Linked DNA regions of Coturnix japonica. The protein of the gene in region 2 purifies or fractionates together with the protein of the main gene of each other region. This does not show direct contact. Links are inferred from orthologs where the notes say so. Each region holds a gene or a part of one and is shown on either strand. Other genes may lie near its edges.

Region 1 (3,643 bases), on a different chromosome or scaffold from region 2:
CCATTTGGCATTTTTGGAGCTTCCTGAAAAGAAAGAGTGGGGCAGGAAAGAAAACTGTTAGAATACATATGTACCTTGACATTAGTTCTTTCCTGTGTTCATCAGAAGCTGACTCGCTCGAGTTAACTGGATGCAATGCGTAGCACTGCTCATACAAAACAGCATTACCCCACGCATTTTCTCTGTTCATCTCCTAGATATCCTCTTCCTAATTCAGTCCCTACTCTGTCTCCACCATTCTGCATAGGTCACAAGATAACTCCAACTCAAAAAATAAAGATACTGGAAAAGGAGAGGACTTCCAGTTCACAAGATTAACACAAAGAAAAACAAAAATAGACAGAAGCATAAGAACAGAAAAGAGAATGTCTCCTAAACTTCACAGGGAGCTCAATGGCTCCCCAGTAGCAGCCAGCTGGGAATTCATCTACGTAAGAATAAGTCAGCAGCAGGACATACCATAGCAGCCACAGGAAAGAGGTAGGGGTGGTTACAGCACTTCTTCAGATCCATAACAACGTTGAGTAATGAAACTTGGTTACCACCACCACGTGCATTCAGTGCCTCAAAGTTCCGTGTCAAAATATATTTATAGTATTTCCTGAAAATAACAAAGAAAACAAAAACTCAAACACCTCTCACAGGAATAACTAACATACACTTGCTCATGTCTGAACGGTTCCTGGCATTACCTGTCAGCTACCTAGACTGCTCTGCCAGTGGCAGTTACTATTCTTTTCATCCCTCTATTACAGGATTACTCCTCCCCTCTGTGGGGACTCAAAATCTCCCTCCCATCCACTGTGCAGAAAGCCCTACAGTGAGGATGAGTCTACTTCAACACCCTCTTTGGAACTGCAGAACAAAACAGAAGTAGTTCAACAGCTGGTGATCACTCCAGCCTCACACTCACTTCTGCATAGGACTCAACTCCACTCTGACAATAAGCTCAGTCTTAGATGGCATGTTCTTGAAAACATCGGCTTTGAGGCGTCTCAGCATGTGTGGGCCCAGCATGTCGTGTAGCTTCTTGATCTGATCTTCCTTGGCAATATCTGCAAACTCTTCTAAGAAGCCCTCCAAGTTACTGTGGAGAAACAGACACTAAGCAAAAGCCACCACAAAAACCCAAACAAAACCAGGGGGATAGGAGTGACAAGACAGGCAAGTTTGGCCTGGATTTTCATTGCAAGGCTTACTGGAATCTCTCTGGTGTCAGGAAGTTGAGCAGGTGGAAGAGCTCTTCCAGGTTGTTCTGGAGCGGAGTCCCAGTAAGCAGCAGCTTATGCTGGAGGGAATAACCATTCAGCACACGGAAAAACTGTAAAGTAGAGAGCAGGGAAGGAATGAAAAAAAACCCAACATGAGCAAAGAAGTCATAGTCCTACTAAAAAATACCCTTAAAAAAAAAAAAAAAAAGCAAGCTACAGTTTGATTTAGATTCCCCATCAGCTATTTGGACAAGTGCTCCTAGTAGTTGCCATTCCAATCTGCATCACTAGACTGATCTCATTCGCATCACTGTTCTGCATAATTGAAACATGACTGTGACAGGTCCTATAAGTCACCAGGTACTAAAAGGTTCCTTTTTTTAAGTTACAAGCTTTCAAACCAATGATCATTTCCACATTGCTATACTATGTACTTTTCCTCCTAAATTAGCATTCTACATTTTTACTTCTCTGCCTCAAGACTTCTAGAAATAACTAAGTCACTCTTCCTATTCATATCAATTCTGGCAGCATTCCAGAGTTCTGAACAAGCAGAGGAGAGAGAGTCAAGGGTTTGCCAATATATCCTTAAAGTAATTTGTGCTAGCTCTCACAACAATGAAGTAATTCTAGACAAAGCCAGCGAGCAGTTATGGTACTGAACTGAAAAGCACAAGTATACAATGTTCACTAGCACAAAGTGACAATAAAGTAGTAATTTATTTATGGACTTATTTTTTATACTTAACACGACACAATGTCAAACTGAATGAGAGTAGCTTGTATGTAGGTTGCTCCAGAAGTAACGCCTCCTATTTATTTCCATGGAAACTACAACAGATACAAAGAGCACAACGGTATTATTTTACAGAGCAAGTTCTTAGCTTCCAAATGCTATTTTTTTTCCATGTTAGTCACCACCATTAGCTACGCATTTTCACCAGTGATGAACAAAAACCTGCACTCCACACTCATTTTGCCAGCAGTACGTGGCTGTCTAGAATGTGGCTTGTCTTCAACATCACTGTCACCAGCACTGAAACATGCTACCCTCTGCCTCACTGTGCTCACATCCACTGCTCAGCATTCAGCAAGCATCAGTGGATGTCAATGGGTGCCATTTTGTCCACGTGGAGGAATTCAGCAACACCTTTGCTTCAAATGCTCTTTCATGTCAGGTGCCATTTTGTCAGACTACTCCTTTGCTTCCATCTGCCGCACAGCAACAAAATCTATCAATACTGGTAGATGATTAAACCTCTACTGTCATATCATTAAGATCCACATTTAATGTCATGGGCCAACATAATAAAATAGGAGGCATTACTTTTGGAGCAGCTCTCGTACTAGGTGACAAATATTAGAAGAAATATACTACCACTTATTTTGGTTTATCATACCAGAAGGATTTCTTCTAGTGCCTTCCATTAGAATTGTTCTATGTAGTTATAGCCAACAACATTCTTATCTTGGAATAAAATATGGGAATTACTCACTGTAACTGCAAAAAACACTATTTGGCAGATAACCAACACTGCCAAGAGCTGTCTTGCATACAAATACCTAAAGCTGTCCTTAAGGGATAAAAAACTCCTCTAGAAAAAGGTAAATTTAACTGTCTTGGTGGATAACCATTGTTTCTTAGCCATAGTGTAGCACCGAGCCTTTATATCCTCTTTTAGTTCATGAAAATGAGTATGAACAGTAAGCATTTGGTACTGCTCCCAGTAATTCCAATTCTAAGCACAGAACAGCACCTAATCTCAGTGCCTACAGTAAAAATATCTCAAAACTGGACTGCAAGCACAGCTGATAAGAGATATCACAAGATACCACACTCAGATCTGAAGAGCTAAAGCTAAATTTTCTCCTTCCCGTTCCCCTCTCATCCCCTACACAGAGGCAACTTAGTCTTACAATCTGCAAGAAACTAAAAAAAACAGATTTTCATTAGCAGCTGCTTTTAGCGTACTAAGCCCTAGAACGTAGCTGAAGACAGACAATCAATACAGATTTAAAACACAAGAGCTTAGGGAGGAGTTGGATTAAGAAAGTACAGTCAATTCTACTGAATTAAAACAAGCCTGGTAAAGGTGCAGCCTCATATGAAAACAGCTGTATGGCTTTCAGCATTTACCCAGGCATTGTTCAACACTCCTGCCCACTTCTCCCATTTCTGTAACATCTAATTAGCTGTGTTACAGAGCTAGAAGAATGCAGAAGGCAAGATTCCTCTGGAAGCAGAATAACTGCAACCCATGCAGCTTTCTCTATACTCAATATGATTAGCCCTTTCAGAACAGAGGTGATCTAGATGTGTCCTACTTCCAGAGAAGCCCATTTCCGAGAATGGCAACACCCAGGTTTTTCTGTTTTCTAGTATACATCAATTGCCTGTTCACCCAGAGGGGAAGTTATTTTTACTAATGAAA
Region 2 (4,435 bases):
TTCAGTCTACCCCACGCCCCTCCCGAGGGCAGCCTGCCCGGCGTCCCCCGTCGCTCCCCCCCCCCCCCCCCCCCCCCCGCGCCTCTGGCTTCAGCGATGTATTTACTTTTCCAGCGGGGGTGTGAGAGTGTGCGCGCTGCCGCTACCTTCTTTCTTTCTCCCTCTTTCATTCCCCTTTCCCCTTCCTCCCGTCCTTCTCCCGGGCTCGGGTACCGCTCCCCCCGCCCCCTCCTCCCTCGCCCCGCGGCCACTCGCGCCCGGCCGGCCCCCTCCGCCCTGGCCCCGGGGCCCTCCGGCGGCGTGCGCCCGGCGCGCCCCCTCCCCGCTCCCCCCCGCGGTCCTCGGCCATTGGCTTGTCCTGCTCTCTTTTTCATGTCCAGCCCCCGATGAGTGTCCATTGGTGTTGCCTTCGCCTTCCCTCCTCCCCTCTCCCCGGCTCGCCCTGCCCATGTTTTGTATGTCTCTGTCCATCCAGGCTCCTGACGTTCAAGTTCGCGGGGACGTCACGTCCGCACTTGAACTTGCGGCTCAGGGGGGCTTTTGCCATTTTTTTCATCTCGCTCTCTCTCTCCTTCCCTCTTTCCCTCTCTCTCCCTCTCTCTCTCTCCCTCTCTTTTTTTTTTTCCCCTCGCACAAAAAAAAAAAAAAAAAAAAAAAAAAAAGCCATGACTGCTATCCCACAATTCATCTTCCCTGCGCCATCTTTGTATTATTTCTAATTTATTTTGGATGTCAAAAGACATTGATGAAGATATTTTCTCGGGAGCCTCCTTCCTCCGCAGCCCGGCGCTCCCGATGTGAGCCGCGCGCTCCGCCGCCGCCAGCCCACCATGTCGCGCCGCAAGCAGGGCAAGCCCCAGCACTTAAGCAAGCGGGAATTTTCGCGTAAGTAAAACCGCGGAGCGACTCCCGCGATTCCCCCCGTGGCGGATTTAATTTTCCTTTCGAGCGAGAGCGGGAAGAAAAGAAAGAAAAGTGAGAGGAAGCGAGAGCGAGCGGAGCACCGCCAACTCCCGGCGCCCCGCGATCACGCTCCGCTCATCCCGCCTCGTCCCGCCGCTCCGCGCCCCGGCCCCGCTCCGCAGAGCGCCCCGCGCGGGCGGGCAGCGGCAGCCCGGGGCAGCGCGGCCGGGAAGGCGGTGGGAGCCGGGTGGGAGCCGGGTGGGAGCCGGGTGGGAGCCGGGCGAGAGCGGCGCGGTGAGAAAAGTCCTGCGAGCGCAGCCCGCCGCTCCCCGCCGCTCGCGTCTTCGCACCCTCCGCGGGGCCGGGGGGCTCGGGCGTGCGGGCGGCTCGGGCCCGGCCGCCTTTTGTTTCCGTGGCGGGGATGCGGGCCGGACCGGCTCCGACCGCCCCGGGGGCCCCGCCGCCCCACCTTCCCCCCTCCGCGTCCCCGGCCCCGGCTCCGGCTCCGGCTCCGGCTGGGGCGGGGGGCGGCCCCGGGCGGGCGGCCGTGGCGCGCCGAGAGGGATTCCCTCCTCGCCCTCGGCTCGTCTGCATCGCTCAGTTACTATTTTTTGGAAGATTTTCAAAAAAAAGTGGAAGTGGATTTTGATTGGGAAAAATCTCGTGTCTGAATGTTTACAAGCGCCGCGTGTGCGGGAAGCCTCCTGCCAACAAACACAGACAAGAGCGAGCCCGGGCTGAGCGCACAGCACACACGCACTCGCTCTCGCACTCTCGCACAGCCTCGAGCCCCGCGCCCGCGTTTAAGCCCCAAACCCAACGCGATCTCCCCGGGAGAGAGAAGCCGCAGCCCGGTCCCGGAGCGCCGCTCGCCGCGGAACCGCCGCTCTCCGGTAGCGGCACCGCGCTCCGGGCGGGACACGGTGAGCGGACAGCTCAGCGTACAACAAAGGGCACCTCGGGCTGCAGAGAGATGCGGGGCGAGGGGGAGGAAGGGACAGAAAATCCCCTTTTTCTCGGGTGAGCGGGCAGAAGGGGAAACGATAAACGCTACTCGTAGGTGCTTGGTTTTTTTTCGGTTTTTGTTTTTTTTCTTTGTTTTGTTTTTTTTTTGGTATTTTTTTTTCTTTCATTTCTTCCCATCTCTTTTCCCCATTATCCTCAGAGAGTGCTGCTCCCTCCCAGGGTCGGCTCAGGACCCGGCGCGATGCGTTCATTCCCCGCTCACGCTTTGCACAACTTTCCGAGCCTTCTTTCCTTCCCTCCCTCGCTCCCTCCCACCGCTCTCCGCACGTTCCCGCACGCGTTCCCTCTGCACTACGCCGCCGCTCGGCTCTGGCTCCTGGGGACGCCTCTCTCGAGGCGGGGGCCGCGACGCCGGCCGACCCGCAGCGCCGTCCCGGAGGGGCCGCCCCGTTCAGCTCGGCCCGGGCGACGGAGGGTCGCGTAGCCGGGCGCGGTGCGGGGCGGCCGCGGTGTTTCCTCACGTGTGCGGCCCCGGGGCCGGGCCTGGGGCGGGAGCGGGACCGGAGGAGCGGGACCCGGGAGCCGGGCGGGCGGGATGCGGCGGGCGGGATGTGCCGGGCGGTCGCTAGGAGGCACACCGACATCAAAAACCCCGCCGGCAGCGGACTTGAACCTGGCCGGTCCTTTGCGCCCGCAGCGCGGCCCAGGCTGGGGGGGAGGGAGGGCGCGCCGCCGGCCCCTTCCCTTCCTCTCGTTTCCCTGCCGGCCCCTCTCCCCTCGCCTTTGTTCTTCTTTTCGGCCGCTGCCGGCAGCGCGCCCGCCGCAGCTGCCCCCGGCCAGAACTCCCCGCAGCCCCCCGCGCCCCCCCGGCCGGCCGGACTCATTTTTATTTCAAATCGTTCTTATTTTTGGTGGGGGTGGGTGGCAACTTTTGCTCGGAGTTTGGCCCCGCTCGGCTCCCTTCCCCCGGGCCCCCCGGTGCCGCCGCGCTTCGCCCCCAGCTTCGGGCCACGAGCTCCGGCCGCACTTGGAGCAAAGTTGGCACGAGGCAACCACCTTTCCCCCCCCACAGCCCTGAAGCTCTCCTTTTTACGCTCCTGAGCCGGGCCGAGCCGAACCGGCCTCGGTCCGTCTGCGCGCCGCTCCCCTTCTCGCCTTTCTCGGGCAGGCGAAAATCAGCGCGGGTCCCCGCAGCCGGCGGGGGGAGATCGCGGTGCCTGGGGACGGGGAAGAAGGAGGGAGCAGGAGGGCGAGGAGGAGCGGAGAGACATGTCCATGGCAGAGCAATTTGCATTAAAAACAGGGACGAGTGATTAGGTGCCTAGGCAGGGAATTCAGCGTGCACAAAAACTAAAGGACGAACCCGGCAGCTCGGGGTATACCAGGTGAATTGTGGATTCGGGCTTTCTTTGGAGACCTGTTTTGTTGTTTGTTGGGTTTTTTTTCCTCCTTTTTTTTTCTGAGAGAGTACTAAGAACACGGCCGTGTTCTGCTGGCTCTGCCCAGTGTTGTGTGAGGAGTGCGGTGCCAGCCGTATTTCATACATTACTATATAATTCTCGTTAATTAGCAATAATTTACATTAAGAGCATAGAAAATGTTGAGGTTACGGGTTTTATATCTGTACATTTGATCATCTTGTTATTTTCAAGAACTTTGCCTCCTATAAAATTAATTAGGTGAAATGTGGAGGTGTAATCAGCAACCTCTGAATTACCACTTCATTTCCTGGGTTTGATTGTAAATCAGCCCCGGCAGAGAAGACTTTAGCAAAGTCTATTGTTGTTTAGCACTACTTTTAACTGTCTGGTGTCTCAGCACAACGTTTCCTTCCCCTGCTAAATAACACTGAGGCTTCAGAAATAAATCAGGCCGAGGGAAAACCTTGTAATTGAGGAATGGCTGCAGAGTTCCTCGCTGAGTGAGCTGCAGAGGGAACGCTGTTTATTTTGTGTGTTCCGCTGTGCACTTTTGGTGAGGTAGAAGTTGGATTTACAGCTCAGCCGCAATACCTTTGTCTCTGCTCTGCTCAGCGAGCTCCGGGAGGAATTAGCCCTGTGCTGCTTTGCTCCCTCTGTCCAAAGACAGGGGATGGCTGGGGAGAAAAATGGCATTCAGCAATCCTGCAGCCCATCCCGCTGCCCTCGGGTGCCAGGAATGCAGCCGCTTGCTCTCCGCGTGGGGAGGGAAAGCAGGTGATTGAGACATTGCTTTTGTCACTCTGAATGTAACCTTCATCCTCCCGTGGTTGACCTTCTGTTAAATGAGAAGTGGTACCAGAGGCAAGAGCTGCTGGGCTGCATCCCCGTGCCCTACTTGGAGCCGAGGTACGGGTGGCTGCCTGCTCTCTCTATATGATTTCATGCAGCACAACTGGGAGCTACTCTAGATCTTCCTCCCCAGTATTCAGCCTAGGCAGGGCTGAAATAAATTTGACCTGAGTTCACACGATTTTTGCACTTTATCAAAATCAGTTCCAATATCATGCAGCCAAATTAAAATCTATTTTTTGATTCTCTGTGGCTTTAAGTTCATTAAACGTGAAATTGGCAGCTAGCTAAAGAAG

Evidence for each region. Proteins that work in one complex are often made in the same cells at the same time.
Region 1: the proteins of BCL11A (region 2) and CHD4 purify together in Homo sapiens (affinity purification with mass spectrometry; 5 studies listed by BioGRID, with this or other methods). This does not show direct contact. The link is inferred for Coturnix japonica from reciprocal best matches to the Homo sapiens genes BCL11A and CHD4.

What each region holds. Positions count from the first base shown.
Region 1 is NC_029516.1:69,341,468-69,345,110, forward strand, and holds part of CHD4 (chromodomain-helicase-DNA-binding protein 4), read right to left. Parts: intron 1,322-3,643; coding exon 1,200-1,321; intron 1,088-1,199; coding exon 914-1,087; intron 602-913; coding exon 460-601; intron 24-459; coding exon 1-23. UniProt on the Homo sapiens protein: ATP-dependent chromatin-remodeling factor that binds and distorts nucleosomal DNA. Acts as a component of the histone deacetylase NuRD complex which participates in the remodeling of chromatin.
Region 2 is NC_029518.1:5,614,196-5,618,630, forward strand, and holds the start of BCL11A (B-cell lymphoma/leukemia 11A), read left to right. Parts: upstream 1-1,559; 5' UTR 1,560-1,574; coding exon 1,575-1,923; intron 1,924-2,950; exon of another isoform or gene 2,951-3,254; intron 3,255-4,435. UniProt on the Homo sapiens protein: Transcription factor. Associated with the BAF SWI/SNF chromatin remodeling complex. Binds to the 5'-TGACCA-3' sequence motif in regulatory regions of target genes, including a distal promoter of the HBG1 hemoglobin subunit gamma-1 gene.